Pelodiscus sinensis: one gene and its partner. Each later gene encodes a partner of the first gene's protein in a complex. Links are inferred from orthologs where the notes say so. Each region holds a gene or a part of one and is shown in the gene's direction. Other genes may lie near its edges.

The links. Proteins that work in one complex are often made in the same cells at the same time.
Region 2: OS9 (region 1) and UBE2J1 share a complex: the UniProt entries of both Homo sapiens proteins name them as parts of the HRD1 complex. The link is inferred for Pelodiscus sinensis from reciprocal best matches to the Homo sapiens genes OS9 and UBE2J1.

What each region holds. Positions count from the first base shown.
Region 1 is NC_134729.1:2,613,565-2,623,856, reverse strand, and holds the start of OS9 (protein OS-9), read left to right. Parts: upstream 1-6,389; 5' UTR 6,390-6,423; coding exon 6,424-6,576; intron 6,577-8,913; coding exon 8,914-9,090; intron 9,091-9,478; coding exon 9,479-9,542; intron 9,543-10,292. UniProt on the Homo sapiens protein: Lectin component of the HRD1 complex, which functions in endoplasmic reticulum (ER) quality control and ER-associated degradation (ERAD).
Region 2 is NC_134713.1:64,155,075-64,165,746, reverse strand, and holds the start of UBE2J1 (ubiquitin-conjugating enzyme E2 J1), read left to right. Parts: upstream 1-5,954; 5' UTR 5,955-6,079; coding exon 6,080-6,110; intron 6,111-7,868; exon of another isoform or gene 7,869-7,947; intron 7,948-10,672. UniProt on the Homo sapiens protein: Catalyzes the covalent attachment of ubiquitin to other proteins. Functions in the selective degradation of misfolded membrane proteins from the endoplasmic reticulum (ERAD) and is essential for cells to recover from ER stress.

The sequences.
Region 1 (10,292 bases):
GAACACAGCTTTGGCCAGGGATGGTTTATCCCAGCTGCTTCCTAACAGCTGGCTGTTACGGGCATCCATGTGACACGACACCAATTTTGTCACACACACTCACTCGGATGTGGAACAGAGAGAGTGCTTGTGAAAACATGGCAGGGTCAGAGGCTAAAGTAAAGAAAGAACAAGTTAAAACTTACTTAGACAAGTTAAGATACCTTCAAGCCACCAGGGCCTGATGAAATAATAATTCAGACTGATCTGGACACACTAGAGAAATGGTTGGAGGTCAGTAGAATGAAGTTCAATAAGGACAAATGCAAAATACTCCACCTAGGGAGGAATAATCCGTTTCACACTGAGGCTGTGTCTAGACTGGCAAGTTTTTCCGGAAAATCAGCCGCTTTTCCGGAAAAACTTGCCAGCTGTCTACACTGGCCGTTTGAATTTCCGGAAAAGCGCTGACGATCTCATGTAAGATTCTCAGTGCTTTTCCGGAAATACTATGCTGCTCCCGTTCGGGCAAAAGTCTTTTTCCGAAAGACTTTTGTGCAAAAGGGCCAGTGTAGACAGCACAGGACTGTTTTCCACAAAAAAGCCCCAATCGTGAAAATGGCGATCGGGGCTTTTTTGCGGAAAAGCGCATCTAGATTGGCCATGGACGCTTTTCCGCAAAAGTGCTTTTGCGGAAAAGCATCCTGCCAATCTAGATGCGCTTTTCCGAAAATGCTTTTAACGGAAAAACTTTTCCGTTAAACGTATTTCCGTAAAATCATGCCAGTCTAGATGCAGCCATACAGAATGGGAAGCGGCCGCCCAGGAAGAAGTCCTGCAGAAAGGGATCTAGGGGTCATAGTGTATCACAAGCTAAATATGAGTCAACAGCATGACCCTGTTGCAAAAGAGCAAACATCATTCTGGGAGTGTTGTCAAAAAGACACGAGAAAGTGATTCTGCAGCTCAACTCTGCGCGGATTAGGCTTCAGCTGGACTTTTATGTCCGGTTCTGGGAGCCACATTTCAGGAAACATGCGGACAAACTGGAAAGGGTCCAGAAAAGAGCTACAGGAATGATGAAAGGTCTAGAAAACATGACCTATGTGGGAAGATTGAGAGAAGTGGGCTTGTTTAGTCCGGAAAGGAGAAGACGGAGAGGGGACATGCTAGCAGTTTTCAAGTACCTAAAAGGGTGTTATTAGGAGGGAGAAATATTATTCTCCTTAACCTCTGAGGATAGAGCAAGAAGCAATGGGCTTAAATCGCAGCAAAGGGGTTTAAGTTGGACATTAGGAAAATTCCTGTCAGGGTGGTTGAACTCTGGAATACATTGCCTAGGGAGGTTGTGAAATCTGCATCATTGGAGATTTTAAAGAGCAGATCGGATAAACACCTGTCAGGGATGGTCTCGATGGTGCTTAGTTCTGCTGAGAGTGCAAGGGACTGGATTTGACGACCTCTCGAAGTCCTGTCCCCTCCTACGAGTCTGTGAAAACTCAGCTTCTTATTTATGCGAGCGTTACCTTCTCCATCACAATCTGTAGGACATCCATGCACCCTGGTACTTTTGTAAATGAAATTGGCCTTTAATGTGGGAACCACGTGTGACGGCGCGTCGGGGTTCCTCCGATCCTGCAGCCCCGGAGCAGCAAGAACAGACTCCATCAGCCAGTAGAATAGAGGGGTTTAGTGCTTCTCCCGGATACAGCCCGGCACAGATGTGACGTGGCTACAGGAGTCAGGGCCAGGATGCCTCAGGCTTATCGGAGAACAGCTGCCGGCGGGAGCGCAGCACCTCTCGGATCTCGGCCTGCTGGGCCAGGGTGAGCCGGTCCGAGAGGGAAATTGACTCCAGCAAAGAGTCCTCTCCGGTCCCAGGGAACAGACCCACCAGGGGGTCCTCCCCCTGCTCCTCCCAGGGGTTGCACACGGCCAGCACCAAGTTCTCCCTGTCCCAGTACGGCTTCATCATGTTAACATGATACACCCGCTGGCTGCACATCCGGCCCGTCAGCTCCACCACATAGTTCATCTCGTTCAGCTGCTTAACGACCCTGACGGGGCCGTCCCAGGCGGCTTGCAGCTTATTCTTCCGCATGGGGATTAGGACCATCACCTGGTCCCCGGAAGCGTAGGCGCGGGCCCGTGCATTGCGGTCGTCCCAGACCTTCCGCTTCCTCTGGGCCCTGCTCAGGGTCTCTCTGGCCAGGCCCATCAGCTCAGCGAGTCTTTCCCGGAAGGCCAGGGTGTTTTCCACCACCGACTCGCCCTCGGGAGAGGCCTTTCCCTCCCACTCATCTCTTAGTAAGTCCAGGGGTCCCCTCACCCGCCTCCTGTGACGGGATGCCCCCTCCCCGCACTGAAGCCCCCAGGGTGCAAGCCCTGTTTGGGGCCTCGAGCGCAGAGCACCGGTGGTGTGCCGGGTGCTCCCACGCCGCTGGCAAACCCGGACACCACGGTGAGCAGTGATGCGAGCGTTGCTGGGGGGGGGGTGAGCTGGGGGACCCCGGGTCAGGGGTGGATGGGGGAGAGGAAGTAGCCCAGGGCACAACCAGAAGGGTTGGTGGGCTGGCGCGTTTCAGCTAGGCGCCCCGTCAGCTGGACCAGATCACGGAGGATCCGTGTCCTTAGCGCCCATGGCTGGATCCCGTGAGTGATGACGGGTCCAAGCCCCCCTCCCTCTCCGACCTGGAGAGCATTGGATGCTTCGTCCGGCACCTACAACGTAGGACACTGGACTCGAGTTGCACCTGAGCGAGGGCGTGGGGGAATCAGCAGTGGCCGAAGGGGGACTGCCCCAAGAGGGCGGGGCGCAGCCCCACCCTGGACACGGTCACAAGGTGGTGGAGAACGTGGGCGCTAGAGGAATCCCTCCCCGAGCAGAAAAGGGGGGAGTGGACCATGCATTGTTTGTTCCCCGTTAGAAGCAAAGAGGGGAGGCGAGCCGCCGGAGGCGCCGACCCCAAGCGGCCGTCCAGAAGATGGAGCCGGTCCAGGTTCTGGAGTGGATTAAGGAGACACAAAGGCAAAGCCAGCAACAACAGACGCTACTGATCCAGCAGCTGTTGTTGCAACACCAGGAATAGCAGTGGCAGCTGGTAAGAGAACTAGCGGAACAATTCAAGAGTCAGCAGGACCAGTGGATGCGCCAGACCCGGCCCTCCCCGGGCCAAGGCGAGAAGGGGAATGAAGACGACGGCAGTGCACCGCGATTGACAGTCAGGTTGACTAAGATGGGACCAACGGGCGACCCAGAGGTGTACTTGACTACGTTTGAAAGGCTCGTCACCGCGGCCCGATGGCCAGAGGCCCATTGGGCCACGATACTGGCCCCCTACGTAACCGGACCGGCGCAATTGGCCTACCGCAGCTTAAGCGACCGGGAAGCCTTACATTATTACAAACTGAAGGAAGCCATATTGGACCAAATGGGCATTCCGCCCGAAACATACCGACAGAAGTTTAGAGGCGAATGATACAGCGTCGGGACGCGGCCTCACGTGACGGCCCAGCGACTCGAGCCGCTTGGCGTTGGCTGGATCCCGAACAACGTACGGGGCCACAAGTGGCCGAGCTCGTCGTGTTGGAGCAATTTGTAAATATTTTTCCCAGCGGCGGACAGCGCTGGGTGAGGCGGCACCACCCCTCTACCCTGAGCGAGGCCGTGGAGTTAATGAATGACTACGAGGCCGACGAGTTGGTCGAGGGCACGAGCCGGGGGGAAAGGTCTACCCCTGCTGCGCGAGGAGAACCGGCCCGGGGGTTCCAACCCCAGGGAAGCCCCGAGGTGGACGGCAGACGTGGGGCCGGGAAAGGGGGGGCACTGAGGCCGTTAGCTCCCCCTCCCCCGGGAAATACCCCGAGAAAAGCCGGGCTGCCTGGCCGAACGGGGAGCTCCTGGGGCACCTCCCTGTACGTGAACAGCAGGTGCGGTAGGTACTTGTCCCAGTCCTGCAGGTGCTGGTGCATAAAGGTCCTTGGCATCTGCTTCTGAGTCCCACCGAATCTCTCCACCAGCCCGTTGGTCTGGGGGTGATATGCCGAGGCCCAGGTGTGCTGGACCTTGCACTTCTCCCAGGGTCGACATGAAGATCCTTGGTCCGTGAGGACCTCCCGGGGGAACCCCACCCTGCTGAAAATGGTCGGCAGTGTGTCTGCCGCCGTGTCTGCCTCGATGGAGGGCAGGGCCACGGCCTCGGGGTAGCAGGTGGCGAAGTCCACCACCTCCAAGACGTATTTCTTCCCCGTCCGGGTCGCTCTGCTGAGGGTTCCCACAATGTCCATCACCCCCTTCTGGAAAGGCTCCTCTATATGGGTAGGGGCCTCAAAGCAGCCATTCCCGGTACAGGAATCTCTGCTCCCACAGGAACCGCTCCTGGCAATCTCCCCAGGTCAGCCCAGTCCCTCAAGGTCCGCAAGGAGGGATCTGCCTGGACTTCAGCAGCTGGGGCAGGGACAGGGACCTGTTCCCCCCCACTACTTGGGTCCGGAGTCCCAGCTCGGCCGGGCTTCGTGTCTGCTGGGGTGGGGGCCCGTGCCCCCTGCTGGGAGCCCTCCCCTGGGTCAGGATCACCAGCCCCTCACTGGCTCTGGCTACAGGTGGTGACCAGGGCCCTGTGGGGTCCGTCTGGCCACTCCTCTAGGTCCCCCCCATCAGCACCTCCGTGGGTAAGTGCCGGTGCACCCCCACTTCGTTGGGGCCCTCCTTAGCCCCCCATTTCAGATGCACCCGGGCTGTGGGCACCTTAATTGGAGTCCTGTCTATGCCCCTACAGGAGTCTGGGCCAGGATGCCTCAGCCCCCTTGAGATGGGTCCCTGGGCCCCTCGATTCCAGACCCCTCCTTAGACTGGTTCCTTCATGATTCCAGCCCCACACTGCCCCTTCCCCCAACACTCACTTCCTAGTTCCCTCACTGCCCTCAACCAGTTGGGTCTTAGGCAGCCCCCCTGCTGGGAAGTGCTCTGGCCACCGGCCAGTAGGGGTCACTCACAGCCCAAGCACAGGGACCAGTAAGGTACTGACACTACATCACACCGTGTCCAAGGAAGTCTGGGATCAAGGAACCAAGGACAGCCTCAGGCCTGGTCTACACATAGCAATTCACTCCACCCTGCTATGTTGCTCAGGGCTGTGAAGAAGGCACATCCTGTCCAGGGGATGTCATTTAATTAGGCAGACCTAGCCCCTGGTGTAGGCATGGCTAGATTAAGGGAAGAATTCTTTTGTCGGCCTAGCTGCCATCTCCTGGAGAGGTGGATTAACTGCACCATAGAAAACACCCGTCTGACACAGAAGCGTCGACACGTTGCGATGCGGCTGTAGCGTAGACAAACCCTCAGAGCTGGTGACAGGACGGTGCTGTATCCCAATGTCAGTAGGATCTGCCAGGGGCTCTGTGCACATGTAGAGGTTACAGGAGATCCCCCCCCATCACTTAGGCTGCACCCCTAGCAGGGGTTCCACCCCTGTGGCCGAGGCCTGGCCCCCTTGCCTTATGCCCCTCCCCATGGCTTTCTCCATCAGCGTCCCCTCTCCATCACCTCCCACTGAGGATGGGCCCCATAAACCCCCAGGCTGTGTCTACACTGGGCCACTTATTCCGGAAAATCAGCCGATTTTCCGGAATGAGCTGTCTACACTGGCCCTTGAATTTCCGGAAAAGCAACGACGCTCTACTGTACAAAATCAGCCGCTATTCCGGAAAACCTATTCTGCTCCCGCTCGGGCATAAGTCCTTATTCCGGAACACTGTTCCGGAAAAGGGCCAGTGTAGACAGCCCAGTAGTCTTTTCTGGAAAAAAGCCCCGATCGCAAAAATGAAGCTCGGGGCTCTTTTCCGGAAAAGCAGCCTGCCAATGTAGACGCTCCTTTTCCGGAAATACTTATAACGAAAACTATTCTGTTTTAAGCATTTCCGGAAATTCATGCCAGTGTAGACAGAGCCTGCCATTGTGTGGGTCAGCCCCCCTGAGTGGCCCTATGCAGCTTGGCTCCACCTAGCCCCACCCCTGCGCCTGCCACATGGCCTAGGTCCGACTGAAGCCCTGTGGATCATGTGACTCCAGTTTAACCAATCAGCTTGGCTCCCAAAGTTGGCTACAATTTATCTTCCTTCCCTCTTTCAATGCTGCCATCTCTGGGCTGCTCTTGCCCTTTAAGAGCCGGGCGTGACGTCATCATCCAGGCGGCCCTCGCCTTCCTGATTGGCTCGGGCGAGTGCTGACTCGGACCAATCCGTCCTCGCCAGATGCCAGCCCCGTCCCAGCCCCACGCCGGCCTCGCTTCCGAGGGCCCTTCCCCGGAGACTGACCAATGAGGAGCTAGATCAGAGGATTGGCACAGGCGCGGCCCAATGGCGGAGCTGGCTGCGGCGGGCAGGGCGGGCCCGCGCGAGGCGGCAGGCAGGAGGGCGGAAGCGCGGTGCGGGAGCGCGGGGAAGATGGCGGAGGCGCGGCCGGGGCTGCTCCTGCTGCTGGCGCTGCTGGCGCCGGGGCGGCCGCTGCCCGGAGCCGCCGGGAGCCTCAACCTGCAGGAGCTCAGCGAGCTCAAGTACGGGATCGAGATCGCCGCCGAGCCGGTGCTGGCCGGGCAGGTGCGTGGGGGGGGGCGCGTCGGGGGGGGCAGGTGCGTGGGGGGGGGCGGGCAGGTGCGTGGGGGGGCGCGTCGAGGGGGGGCCGGGCAGGTGCGTGGGGGGGCGCATCGGGGGGGGGCAGGTGCGTGGGGGAGGGGCCTGGCAGGTGCGTGGGGGCAGGTGCGTGGGGGAGGGGCCTGGCAGGTGCGTGGGGGGGGTCTGTCGGGGGGGGGCCTGGAAGGTGTGTGGGGGGCAGGTTCGTGGGGGGGCGCGTCGGGGGGGCATGGCAGGTGCTTGGGGGGCAGGTGGGTGGGGGAGGGGCCTGGCAGGTGCGTGGGGGGGCCCGTCGGGGGGGGGGCTGGAAGGTGTGTGGGGGGCAGGTGCGTGGGGGAGGGGCCTGGCAGGTGCGTGGGGGGCAGGTGCTTGGGGGGGCGCATTGGGGGGGCAAGTATGTGCAGGTCGGTCTGGGAGGTGCATGTTGGGGGGGTAAGTGAGGGGGCGGGGGGCAGAGGTCCCAGAGTGGGAGGTGAGAGGTCTGGCCAGGGGGGGTGCTGGAGGGGAGGGGCCCCACAGGTATGTGTAGGGACTGAACCGGCACGGGGGCAGTTAGCTGGGGAAAGTGGGGGCAGGGCCAGTGTTTCTGTGGGGGTTGGTCTGGGGCAGAGGGAGCGAGCGGATGGGGGGTCCTAGGAGCTGGCATTGGTTGGCAGGGTCAGGGTAAGACTGGAGCGAGAGGGGGGCTGGGGTAGGTAGGTGCCAGGGGCCAAGCCCATGTGGAAACTCCCTTTCAGCCCATCTCCCCCATCCTGGGGCCACGTCCGACCTGGTGCCTGTGCAAACACATCCCCTTTACTTGCTCCCAACAACCGACCCCTTCCTGGCATAGGCCGGGGCACCGGGCTCAACAGCACCCTGGCCACTGCCCCGGCGGCCCCCGTGTTTACTTCTCCGGCCGAGTCAGGCGGCTGCGCTTGGGACTTCCACCATCCGAGGCCTCACTTTCGCACGTGCCAACGGGGAGCTGGCGCAGAACGGCCGAGGTGCGGCGTCACGCTGCTGCTCGGCCGTGCGCTTTGAAACAGCGACTTCTGGCGCAGCTGTGTGCACCTTGTTCTGCTTTCTGGCTGCCTGCCTCTCTGGATTAACGCCGCCTGCGGAACGGCGGGGAGGGTGGCCAAAATCTGCTGAAACCGCAGTCGCTTTCTAGCACCTGATTCTTCTCCACGATTCTGGCCTGGGGGAGGCTTAGCTAAAAGCAGAAGTTTGGGAAGTTGGCTTGTGTTTGCATCCGGAGAGCGCCTGCCAGCTGCTGCCCGACATGCTGGCTCGGGCACTTTGTGCTTTGTAAAGGCGAGAGCCTGCTCTTGTGCACATTCAGCATCACGGTGTAAATTCGGAGAGGGGCCCTGCGGCCCTGGGCAAGTCGTTTAGGCCTCATCTAAACAAGCAGGTTGTGCAGCGGTTTGGCTAAATGAGACCGGTATTGAGGAAGTGTTACCCATCATCCCCAGCGTGGACGCTGTCTTCTGACAGTGGCCAAGAGGGAGCAAACAGAACAGGGAATCATCAAGTGATCCCTCCTCTGTCGCCCAGTTTCAGCCTCTGACAAACAGCGGCTCTTTTTGGAACCCTGTTAAAGTCCTGGCTTTCACAACATCCTCTGGCAGGGAGTTCCACAGGTCGACTGTGGGCTACATGAAGAAAAACGTCCTTTGGTTTGTTTAAAACCTACGACCTATTCATTTCATTTGGTGACCCCCTCGTTCTGATGTTAAAAGCCAGTTTGGCGCTCTGCCCCCTAGGCGATGCTGCCTGTCAGAACTGACGCGCTCAGCCCTAGAGTTGCCGTATCGCCGAGCCAAGGTCACGAAGCCGGCGCCAGCTCCCTCGCAGCTTGCTCTGGTCTAGCTTGCGTCCCTGAAGAGCGGGTGGAAGCCACTCTGCCGTAAGCGGCTCAGAAACTGAGACGGCTGCCCCCCCATGGGGATGCACTGGTTTCCATGGGATCCGGGCACAGCTGCAGTGAAAGCCATTCCCGCTGGTGCCTGGGCGAATTGTGGAGCAGAACCGGTTTCCAACCGGGGTTGGGCAGGATTTGGGTTTTGACGAGTATCTCTCTTCTGATTGGCGTGGGGTGAGCAGCAGACTTGGCTTCCAATCCCAGCCCTGCCACTGCCTCGGCGGCCTTGGTCATGTCACCTCACTGTGCCTTAGTTCCCTAGCTGCGTGATGCCGGACGCCTGGTATGGCAGGAACAGGAGGAAGCCAGAGCATCTAGCCACCAGGCTGGCACCTTCCTGCTCCCTCAGACCTCTTGGCCCTGTTCTCCTTCGCTGACGCCCCACCTCCGCCCCCTAGAGCCAGCCGGAGGACGTGGTGGTCGTGGCGTCCAAGTACAAGCAGAAGTACGAGTGCCGCCTGCCGACCGCCGCCCTGAGGATCCACCTGGACGCGGAGGAGCAGCCACAGAGTTACCAAGGCCTGGGCATCTCGGATCTGCTGCGGCCCATGGAGGCTGCGCCCTGCCTCGTGAAGGTGACTCCGAGGGATGCTGTGTGCTTGGGGGGGGGGGAGGTGTCTGCAGGCCTGTTGGCCCCCCTGGAAGCGGGCTGGCTCCTGGGGAGGAAGGGGGTAGACAGGATTCCTTCGGGGGGCCCTGGGGAGCTGGCAGCACCTGCTCCCGGCCTCCGGCGGCCTGGCCGTCAGCAGGAAAGCTGTCAGTTGTGAGGTCCGGGCGGACGGAGGAAAGGCCCCCGTGGCACGGAGCCACCGCTGTCTTTGCCGGCCCTCGAGGGGCACACAGCAGCCCCGGCAGCATGGATCTAAGGGGGCTGGGCTGGGGCCGTGGCCAGTGGGGTTCTGGGGGGCGGGGCAGCTCCTGGGCTTTGTGGAATTGACGCGCCGGCTCCTGCCTCCTTCCCAGACCAAGGACTGGTGGACGTACGAGTTCTGCTACGGGAAGCACATCCAGCAGTACCACGTGGAAGGTAACGCTCGCTGTGCCGGGCCCTGCTGGGGGGCAGCGTGGGGGGGGGTGAGTGGGTCCCCCCGCCCCCGGGACACCCTCGGCTGAGAATGTGGCCAGCCCCTCCCTCTGGGGCCTGGTCTGCGCCCGTGGGGCGGCTCGGCTGGCAGATGGGGGAGGCTGCCAATATAAACGCTTGGCAGAGCAAAGAAGCTACGTGGGCGCCGGGGGTGGCAGCGCCCAGGCCTATGGAGACGTGTGACGGGCACGGGGGCCGTGGTCTCTCTGCTGGGGTCACGTAGTGCCCCCGTGGCCTCCTGTGTCAACTCCCCCCAGCTCCCTGGGGCTGCCCTGCCAGCTGGGGGGTCACTGCGTGATCGGCGCGGGCCCCTCTCCTTGGCATCCGCGGTGGCAGCCGAGCGCGGGGGCTGGGGGCAGGGATACTCCGTGTTAGATCTTGGTAGCAAAAGGGGCTCCCCCCACCCCGGACGGGCCCAGCCCTTCCCCTGAACCTGATCTGGGTGGGGTGTTGACCTGGCTCTTGTCCTTGCACTGAGGCAGGGCGATCTGGTGCCCCTCCCCCCCCCCCCCCCCCCCCCGAAGTCTGGGGCTAGCCTGGACTTGGGCCTCTGGCCTGCCCCAGCTGTCCCGCGGCACCGGGGGCCAACAGCACATGGAACACCCGGTCCTGCCCGCCCTCCCTGGGTGTCTCTCCCCGGGGCCTGGCCGTCCTGGAGCTCTAACGGGGGTGGCTGGGGTCTCTTTGCTTCCC
Region 2 (10,672 bases), on another chromosome or scaffold:
TGAATGTCCCTTACACTTTTTTACTTCCAACTGAAGGAGTTAATCAGTATTAACATACAAATTTCCATCAACTTATATCACTTCATAATTATATATAGGCTATATATAACTAATACAATAAGCAGAAGCCCAGAGTGCATAAATGAAACTGATAGCGTTTTGATTTCTTTTGAGAAGTTAATATGTATCCTAAGTGTCCTGAAGTAGGTCACTATTTATGAAGAGCTGCAAAATTCTATGGTGACTGCATATAGTCTTAAAGAAGGAAATATTTTTTCTATAGCCATGTGAATACAGGTATTGTAGTTTCTGCATGCTACAGCTAAGCACTTCTAGTTTTTCAGCATGGGAAATAGACTCATTAAATCACTTGACAGTGTGTGCAGATCCAATGTAGTGTTGCCAACATTTGTGACTTCACTACAAATTACATGATATTTGATGCTTTTCCTTATAGCAAAGCCCCTGCTTAGTCAAGTGATTATATGAGAATCTCAACTTTCATTTAAAAAACAATGTTTCTAGCCCTCAAGGTTGCAAAGATGCTTGTATGATGAAGGCTTGGAAACCAGAAGGCAAATAATCACCCCTCTTCCAAATATGTAATTTTAAAAAGCATGGTAGTGGGGGCCTAACTTTTGAGGCTTGCCTGTTGTATACCTCACTGATGTGGCCCCTAACTGAGAAGCAGAAAGACACTCCCTATTCTACAGGCACACCAAAGCCTAGGGGGCCCAGTCTAGTAGATTTTGTGTGCTCCAGCCCCATGGGGAGAGGGACAGCACAAGCTCCAGGCAAGCCAAGGCCGCATCCAGTCCCTGGGTCTGAGATTCCCCACCCCGACCTAGATAATAATAAGATGACAAGTAATAGTAAACATGTATTTGTCAACAAGCAACAAAGCTTGCCTTTTGAGTATTGCCTTTAGAAACTAGTTAGAGGTCCTTGAAGCCATGGTGTATCCTGTCCTTCAAAGGGAGGCTGTAACAAGTCAGCAGGTAGCACGGAGAATTGTGGAGTTGAAACCTAGCTTCATATGGGTATATAAAGTTAATCAAGAAGTGCAGTTAAACCTAGTATTATGGGTACCCATGGCCCCAAACTGGCAGAGATGTAATTTAATTGAATGGGGGGAAAATTCAATGGATTTCTACATTATAAAAATTATGACTGTATTTGCATTGTTTCTGTAATATTTAGTCTGATGCAGTTATGATGACTGTGTATTTCTTCTTTAGCTAGAAACTAATAGTTCATGTTAAGTGCAGGTGCTTCCTTTGTGAGCTATATAAAGTGATGCCGTAACTGCTGCCAAGCACAACCCAGAGACAACAGTCAACTCATCTAAATATTACTATTTGAACAACACAAGTATTAACCGGATTACTCTTAGAATTCTCCTGGCTAAAGGAGGATAAAAATTCCTTTAAAGGTTGTGGGTAAAATATGACCCTTACAGAGAATGAAAGGGTTTGGCCATGTATAGGGCCATTCTACTAGTATGTGGCAAGATGACTCAAGGTAGCTTAGGGTGTGTCTACATGGCAGCGTTATTTTGGAATAACAGACGTTATTCTGAAATAAATTTGCGAGCATCTACACATTTTGAAATAATGGGTGGCTTATTCTGGATTCTGTAAACCTCATTCCACGAGGAATAATACCTCTTTCAAAACAGATATTTTGAAATAGCTGTAGTGTGGACGCTCTACTGCTGCTATTTCAAAATAGCTCCTCCTCCAGGCCATTCAAAGTAATTACTCCCCAGTGCTACTGGGGCTCTAAATTGAGGTAGTGCATCCACATTAAGGGAGCCTGCCTTGGACTAATTTCCTGGCTTCCCTGTAGTGTAGACGTGCTATTTCAAAATAAGCTATTTCGGAGTATCTCTTTCACAATAGCTTATTCAGAAATAAACATGCAGTGTGGATGTACCCTAAATGAGGAAGGATGAACAAGTTTATGTGCTGTGCTACTCCTTACAGATCCTTTAAAAACAAATGGGGGCAAATTCACATGCACCATGCCCTTAAAACTGCTGATGAGAGATTGGAGATATTCCAGAGGACTGGAAGATGGAAAATAGTGTCAGTCCATAAAAAGGAGAACAAAAGCAACTTGGGGAATCATAAACAATCAGTTTAACTTCATGACATTGAAAAATGGAGCAAATAATTAAGCAAACAATTTGCAAACACCTAGATCACCCGGGGAGCCTTAGCCGTGTAGGACAGCAGCAGAACCAGCGAGACATGTCCCCGGGAAGCCCTGGCTGGGTGGGGCAGCAGCGGGGCAGCCGGGCAACCCCATTCTCAGGAATGCCCAGTTGGGTGGGGAAGACGCAGGACTGCTACAATTGAGGAGCTCTCAGGAAAGGGAAGTGCCCTGAGAGGCCAGTGTCAGGGCCCACCCCGATCCAGCAAATTCCCTCCTTTGGGACAGGTCACGTCCTGAGGGTGCCAGACAAGGGAGGTCGAATCTGAATAAAGATTGTAGAAGATTATCAAGATGGGAGGCATTGCAAGTGCTTTGGATGACAGAATTAAAATTCAAAATAATCTACACAAACTGGAGAAATGGTCTGAGGTAAATAGGATTACATCATATATATAGTAGCCCAATGTCTGAGAGTCTGTAACACTGAAATGCTGGGTGTTCCTTTTGGGTGGCCTGAGTTGCATGGAGAGTGTGGGGCCTAAACGGCTGCTTGCTCTCCTGTGGTGCCCTGGCTCAGCAGTGCAGAAGTCAGCCGAGTGCCACGGCAGGAGAGGAAGGGGGGTGGGGCAGTGATGTGCAGCGTGACAGCGGCTCCAGGCCCCGCCCCCTGGCCGTGAACTTCACCACCCCGCCCCCCTTCGCCTCCTGCCATGACGCTCGGCTGACTTCTGCACTGCTCAGCCAGGCCGCCTCGTGAGAGCAAGTGGTGCAAGCGACCGTTTGGGCTCCACATTCCCCATGCAGCACGAGGAGCGCGGAGCCCAAAAGGCCATTTGAGTTTCGCGGTCCCCCAAGTGAGAGGCAGGAGGGGGAGGAGAAGAGAAAGAGAGAGAGGCAGGAGGCGTAGGAGAGCTGAGAGAGAGAGAGACCGGAGGCTCAGGAGAGAAGACTGACATGGAGGAGAGACGTGAAAATCCCATTTTATGATGGGCTAATTGGCTAGTTCAATAAGAACAATTGCAAAGTACTTCACTTTGGAAGGGACAATAAACTGCACATATGGAAAATGAATAGAAAGGAGTACTGTGGAAAGGGATCTAGAGGTTATTGCAAATCAAATATGAGCTAAATATGAGTCAAGAGTGTCACATTGTTGCAAAAAGCAAATATTCTGGGACCTATCAGGAGAACTATGAGCAAGACACAATAAATGATGAGGCTTGAACTGGTGAATTTTGTCCAGTTCTGAATGCCATTTTTTCAGGGGAGATGTGGATAAACTGGAGAAAGTCCACAGGAGAGCAAAAAAAATTATTAGAGTTCTAGAAAACATGACCTATAAAGACTGAAAAAAATGGTTTTGCTTAATCCGAGACAACTGAGGAGACATGAGAACTCTTTTCGTACATAAATGCTGTTACAAGGAGAAAGGTGAAAATTGTTCTCTATAACCTCTGAGAAAGGATAAGAAGCAATGTACTTAAATTGCAGCAAAAGAGGTTTAAATTGGACACGAGGAAAAACTTCCTGTCAAAGTAGTTACTCACTGGAACAACTTGCTTAGGGAGGTCATGGAATCTCTGCCATTGGAGTTTTTAAAGAACAGGTTAGACAGACACCTATAGTCAAGTTGTCACTTATCCTTGCCTTGAATGCAGGGGACTGGACTAGATGACCTATTAGGTCCCTTCTAGGACTTCACCTGTGTGTTTCTATGATGGTTATGCTCCCAAGAGGGAGTCATGTGTTCTTGGACATTAACTATAGAACAGTGGGTTCTTTTGTAAACAAACTGATGCACTAGCTAATCTCTCATCCTAATGCTTTTCTGAGTTCTGTGTTGGAATCCTGTCCTCCTGCTGTAACAGTGAGTCACAGGGAGAGGCAAGATTATTTATGCCCTGTTCCTCCAACTACTGCACTGCAAATGTTGCCCTATATTCATAAAGATGACTTGCCTACTACTGAAATGCAACTATCTCTTAACTCTCCAAGCTATACCAACTACGTAACAATTTTAGGAGTTGAAAACGAAAAGTAATTTTTGAAATTGAAACAAAAAGATAATTATGCAGGCAAAAAATTACCGGTTTGTAGAACCATACCAGTGTTCGACCTTTCTGTGTGCAACTGGTATTCACTGCTGATGGTTTACAGAGAGGCATGAGATATGAGAAAGGTGAAATGAGAAAGAGATGGAGATATGGACAAGAACTAGGGAATAACAAAATAAATGTTAAACCTGGTGCCAGGACAAACATTTTCAAACTTAAGTGATTAAAATTAGGTACATCAGTAAAAGGGGGCTGATTCAAAGATGCTGCTGGTCCAGAGCTCCCAAAGAAATAGACAGGAATTCAGTACCTCTGAAAATCAGGCTACTTTAATAAATGTAGATGCTTATCTTCAGGGCTTGACAAACGGCGACAAAACCTACTCACCAGCTCCACACTGAGCATGCACGAGACCCGCATTGCGCATGCGCGTGCCGCCAGTGAATGGGGCGACTGGCTGAAATCTACTTGCCACGGGCGAGTAGATTCAGTGATTTGTCGAGCCCTGATTATCTTATTATTCATGTACATTATCATAGCACCTATGTGCCTCAATTATGGATCAGGATCCAATGTCCCCTAGGGCATTCAATCCAAGTAATAGAGAGCATTAAATCCAAGTAATAAGGGCAGTATACCAGGTAAGGGTGCATCAGCACAGGAAAGGGATTTGGAGAGTATATGGGTTGAAGGTACTATGTGAGGTAGTACAGAGAAGGATATAAGTGATGGGGATGTAACAAAGCAGGGAAAGTACTGGGAGAGCTATAGGGAAAGTATCAGCAATGGAAATGTATTAGGGTGAAGAAGGTATCGTGAGGGTAGCAAGGAGAGGGCAGTATGGGTAATAAGGTGGTATTGGGAGAGGGATGGGGATGGAGGTGGGGGCAATGTCAGCAGTGAGAATTGTTTCAGGGTAGAAGCATTGGCAGTATTAGGGTGGGAGAGGTATCAGGAGTGATGTCAGGGATGAGGGCAACATTGATGGTGAGGCTGCTTCAGTAATAAAGGGGCTATGTGGGCAGCCTGGGGGCAGTATCAGTAGGGCTGCAGGGAATGAATCAGGGTAGGGGCAATATCAGGAGCAGTATCAGGGATGAGAAGCTGTATTGGGGGAGTTATCAAGGGAGGAAGCGTAAGGATGAGGACTGAGTTGTAAGTGGTAAAAGGGATGGGGGCAGTATCAGAAAAGACATCAGGGATGGCGAGGTGTGAAATCAGCAAGATCAGAAATGGAGTGGCATTAATAGGAGTATTTGGGGTGGGTGTATCAATAGGGCTATCAGGGATGGGGACAGTGTCAGAAGGGGGATCAGGGTGTTAAGAGGAGGGGCTTTGGGAATTGGGACCGTATGGGGAGGGATCAGGAGGGAAATTGGGAGACGAAAGCTGCATTGGCGGGATGGGATTGGGATGGGAGTAAGGATGTTAAATATCCGTTAAATATCCAGGCTGCTGCTGCTTTGAAACTCTGCCTCTGCAGTGTTTCAATGGGGCATCCCACACAGCTGAGCCCCGGGCTCAGCTGATAGAGGCAACAACTGGGGCGACAGACTAGTTGACTGACTGTCCCATTAGCATTTGCTTATGGGATAGTCGACTGGAGACCTAACCCCTGAGGTGGGGTGATGTGCTACTGGGAGGGGGCTGTGGATGAGCGGCTGCGGGGCGGGGAAGGGGTCTGGGTGGGGGCTGGCTGGAAGGGGCGAGGGGCGGGGCTGAGGCTGGCGCGGCGCGCAGGGGGCGGGGGAGTCACAGAGCAGCCGCTGCCACGTCAGGCCCGTTTCCGGCCGCGGCCGGAGCCGAGTCAGCAGCCGCCGACGCGCAGGCCCCGCCCCTCCCCGCATAGCCGGGAGCCGGCGCCCGCCATGGAGACGCGCTACAACCTGAAGAGCCCGGGTGAGCGAGCGAGCGAGCGAGGGGCCGGGGCGGGGTGGCTGGACGGGAGCCGGCGGCCTCCCTCCAGGCCCCGGGTGCAGGCCGCGGCGGCCCGGGAGGAGCGGGCCGGAAGCCACCCGCCGGGACCGGGCCTGCCGGCGCCTCGGCCACAGGGCGATGAGGCCGGTTCGTCTCCCGGCCCGCGGGGCGAGCCCGTTCCCGAGCGCGGGGGCATGGCCGAACCTCCCTCCTCTGTCGCCCTCCTCGCCAGTGGCAGAGCCTGTGCGCCTGGGCCCCCTCTCCCCGGCCCTCCTCTTCCCCTGCCGGGGTCACCCCTGGGCTGGGGGCTTTGCCCCCACTCCCCGCGTAGCAGGGGCTCTGTTCTTCTCCCTGCACTGCAGGGCCCCGTTCTCCTGCCTGGTCCCTTCGTGCCAGGGCCCTGAGTCTCCCCCCATGCCAGGGGCGCTGTTTCCCCAACTTTTCCTCGCCAGTATCTCCCGTTCTTTATGCCAGTGGCGCTCAGCCTTTCCAGACTGCTGTACCCCTTGTGGGCATCTCATTTGACTTGCATGCCCCCGGGTTTCATCTCATTTAAAAACTGCTTGCTTACCAAATCAGGCATGACAAATACAAACGGGTCACAGCACACTGTTCTGGGGGAATTCCATACCTTTTCATTTGTATTGTATAACTATAAAATCAAATGGATTATGAATGTATGCACATTTCAGCATAAAATATAAGTGGTCAAGGGTTGCACTTTATTTTGGAGGGGAAGCAGGGTCTGGGATAGAGGTTGAGTGCAGAAGAGAGTGAAGAGTAAGGATGTTAAATAACGATTAATTTACTAGTTGAGAAGTCGATGGAATTTCCATCAACTAATTCACTAGTCGATAGGCACTTCCAATTTTGAAATGCACAAGAGCCCCTTGTACATTTCAAAGGAGGAATGCGGACCTCTGCATGTAGCCTGGGGCCAGCGGGCAGTCCCGCTGACTCAGGGCTCCATGCTGGCACTTCCACTTTGGGGCTCTTGGCGCGTTTCAAAGCGGAAGTACCCTCATGGAGCCCAGGATCAGCTGGGGACTCCCCAGCTGATTCCGGGTTCCGTGGAAATGCTTCAGGGAGCCTGGGGTCAGCTAGAGAGCCCTTGTGGCATTTCAAAGGGGCAGCGCTGTATAGCTGATCCTGGTTTCTGTGCAATGCTGCCCCCTTTGAAACACTGCATTTCAAAGCGGCAGCACTACACTGAGCCCATGGTCAGATCTGTGCAGCGCTGCCCCCTTTGAAATGCTGCCACAGTGTTCAAAGCATGGAGCCTGGGTTATGGGCTCCGTGTGGTGCTGCCGCTTTGAAATAACCCCTGTTCCCGCCTCCCCCCCTCCCGTTTGCTGCCTCTGTCTGATAGAGGCAGCAAGTGGAAGGGGGGGGGAGAGGAATCAACTAGTCGACTGGCCTATCAGATAAGTATTTGCTTATCAGAGAGTTGACTAGTCCTTAACATCCTTAGCTCAGAGTAGGGGATTGAGGTGTAGGAATGTTTGTTGGGTCTGGGAGGAATTTGGATGAAGGAGGGAGTTGTGACTTGGGGCAGAAGATTGGGTGCAGCAGAGGATTCTGGCCTGTGAGAAGAGTGTAAGTGGGGTTTCAGGGTCTTGGAGGCAATTGTGACCTGGGGCAGAAAGGGTGCCTATGGTTTGGGTCATGATCTGGGGCAGGGAGTTTGAGTACAGGAGAGGGTGAACTACCATGTGTAGGTTCTGGCTGGGAGGCACTTACCTGGTCTGTGCCCAGTCAGCTACCTGCAGGACTCTCAGATATCCCCCTGCCTGCTGCAGCTCAAAGCAGCTGACTGCTAGTGCCATGTGCCTCTCCACACTATGTACCTTGCGGGGAGCCTTTGTGTGCTGCCTCTGCCACCAGCACAATCCTTGCAGCTCCCGTTGGCCAGTTATCGACCAATGAGAGTGTGGAGGATTGTTCTGCTGGCGGGGGCAGCATGCGAGATCTTCACCCGCGTTCAAGCAGTCTGGGGCTGCAGTAGGCAGGGAGCCTGCCTGAGGGTCCCATTGGGCTGTGGGCCAGATCCAAAGGCTTGTCAAGCCAGACCTGGCCTCTGGGCTGTATCTTGACCACCCCAATGTACTCCCTGGAAGACCCTTGAGTACCTCTGGTTAAAAATCACTGGTTTACACCACCATCTCTCTTTCTTACTCTCTTAAAATAAAAAAAAGATAAGAGTACTTTTCTTCCCTCCAGATTGGATGGTACTATCTCACCCCAACCCGAGGGGGAGGGCATGAGGAATTACATGCACCCAAACACTGTAGATGGAAGGAGTTGGCCAGCAGCTGGCAGGAGGGATCCCCTCACCAATGTCGCCAACAGTGGCAGGGGGAAGTAGAACAGGATGGCCTCAGTTGTTTTGCCCTCCTGGTGTGCTGCTTGGGTATGAGTGAGTATGTGAGAGTGAGACCTCTGCTACTGGCCTCAGACCCTCTAGACCTTGGGACTGTCTCTGTTCAGGAAGAGGCTGATGCAGGGACAGGAAGAGTGGGGGATCATGTGGCTGGAGACCCCGCCCTTGAGGGCCCCCTCATAGGTCACTTCTGCCCCAACCAGGAAGCAGGATTGGAGTAAAGGACAGAGGGGGGAAGATATGGATGTAAAAATAACAGCACCCCCGTTCACTAACTGTGTAACCAATTGAAATTCAGTGGGTTACACAGTTAAATGTTCTGCAGGCTCTCAGAGGCTGCTGGCCCTGCGAGCTGAGAGTTAATCAGTAATGTTAACTGATAAGCTAAATTCTTACATCCCTAGAGAAAGATCCTTTCTCTCTCTCTCTCTCTCTCTCTGTAATTGCCTCTGTAAACTCAATTGTTTACTGAGTATCCATCTTGCAGGAGGGAGGGCAATTAGTTTTCTTTGGGATGTCAATGTGTTAAACTCTATTGGGTGGATGAGCAGGACTATTGTAATTCTGTAATGTGTTAGTGGATGGCATAAACAGATTCTGATGACTGCTGTCCATCTTGATTGTCCCCAAAATTGTACCCGGTGGTGTAAAGGGCAACATGGTCACAGCTGTCCCTCAATTTCCTTCTGGTGCCCATGGCAGTGAGATGTAATGAGTGGTGCCAGTCCTTGTGCTGCCAGTCTGTTCTACAAAATGTCACAGTTCATATTCTAATGGGCAATGCATCTTCATTATACTGTTTAAAGGAGCAATGAGATACATGATCATCACCTGACATGGAAGTAACGAGCAGGTAACGGACATGATGTAATCAAAATGGGGTACCCTCAAATCACTCCTTATGTTTGGGAGTCAGAAATAACCTAGCAGACAAACCATCACCAGTGATGTGTGAAATTCCATTATTGAATTGGTAGCAAAGGCAGGGGACACATGCCCAGGATCATTGCAAGAGGCCTTTCTCATACTATGGGATCAAGGACCCATGTACGTATTTATCCTTTGATTCCAAAAGGCACGTGCAAAGTTAGACAGGATGTAGCTACACTGATTCTACAGGTTGAACCTCTCTAGTTCGGTATCCTTGAGACCTGAGCAGTGCTGAATCAGAGAATTTGCTGGACCATGGGAGGTCAATATTGTCTAGCAGCATTACCAACATTTTCACTGCTTACTAGGCTCTTAGAAAAACTCAAAACAACAAATTGTCTTGCAGCACCTTAGAGACTAACAAAAATGTAGATGATATGAGTTTGAAGACATTTAAGGGTAAATTAGAGCTAACTACTACCAGTACAGAGTACTGAGAACCAGGACTGGTGGCTGTAAACATATTTTGTGGGACCATGGGAATGTTGGCCACACCCATAAGTGGACATCCAGCTAACTAAAATCATGCTGGACCATGGATGTTGCCGGATCAGAGAATGCTTGACTAAAGTGGTTCAACCTGTATTTGCATTAAATTGGCAAAGACCATTTTGGCCGACTGTTCTCAGAATATCTCAGAGGGGTACTTCTAAAAACTTAAAACAACGAATAGTCTAGTAGCACCTTAAAGACTAACTAAACATGTAGATGGTGGTATGGGCTTTTGTGGGCAAAACCCATTTATTCAGATGACCTGGAGTATTAATAGTCCAGATCCAAGAATAAATAAGGGAGGGGAAGAGAAGGAGGGGGGAAGAGTGAATAGATTGTTCAAGTTACAAGAGGCTGATAAGAACAATTAGAACCTCCATTGTTTGTTTGGTTGGTTAATTCATTAGGATGTGGAAGGTAATGTGCGCCCAGCCAATATTTCTGTTCATTGCAATCTGATAACTTCATTTACAAGTTTAATTTTTAAGTCCCAACCCTTCCCTGTGTATTTTTGGCTTGTGGAATTGGTCTGAAACAACACAATGAATTGGAGATCCACTAATGAGTGACCAGGCATGTTAAAGTGTTCTCCAACAGGTTTATGTGTGTTGCCTTTTTGGATATCTGATTTGTGTCCATTAATTCTTTCCCATAGAGACTGTCCACTTTGGCTAATATACATGGCAGTTGGGCGTTGCTGGCATTTGATGGCATACATCACAGTAGTGACTGTGCAGTTAAA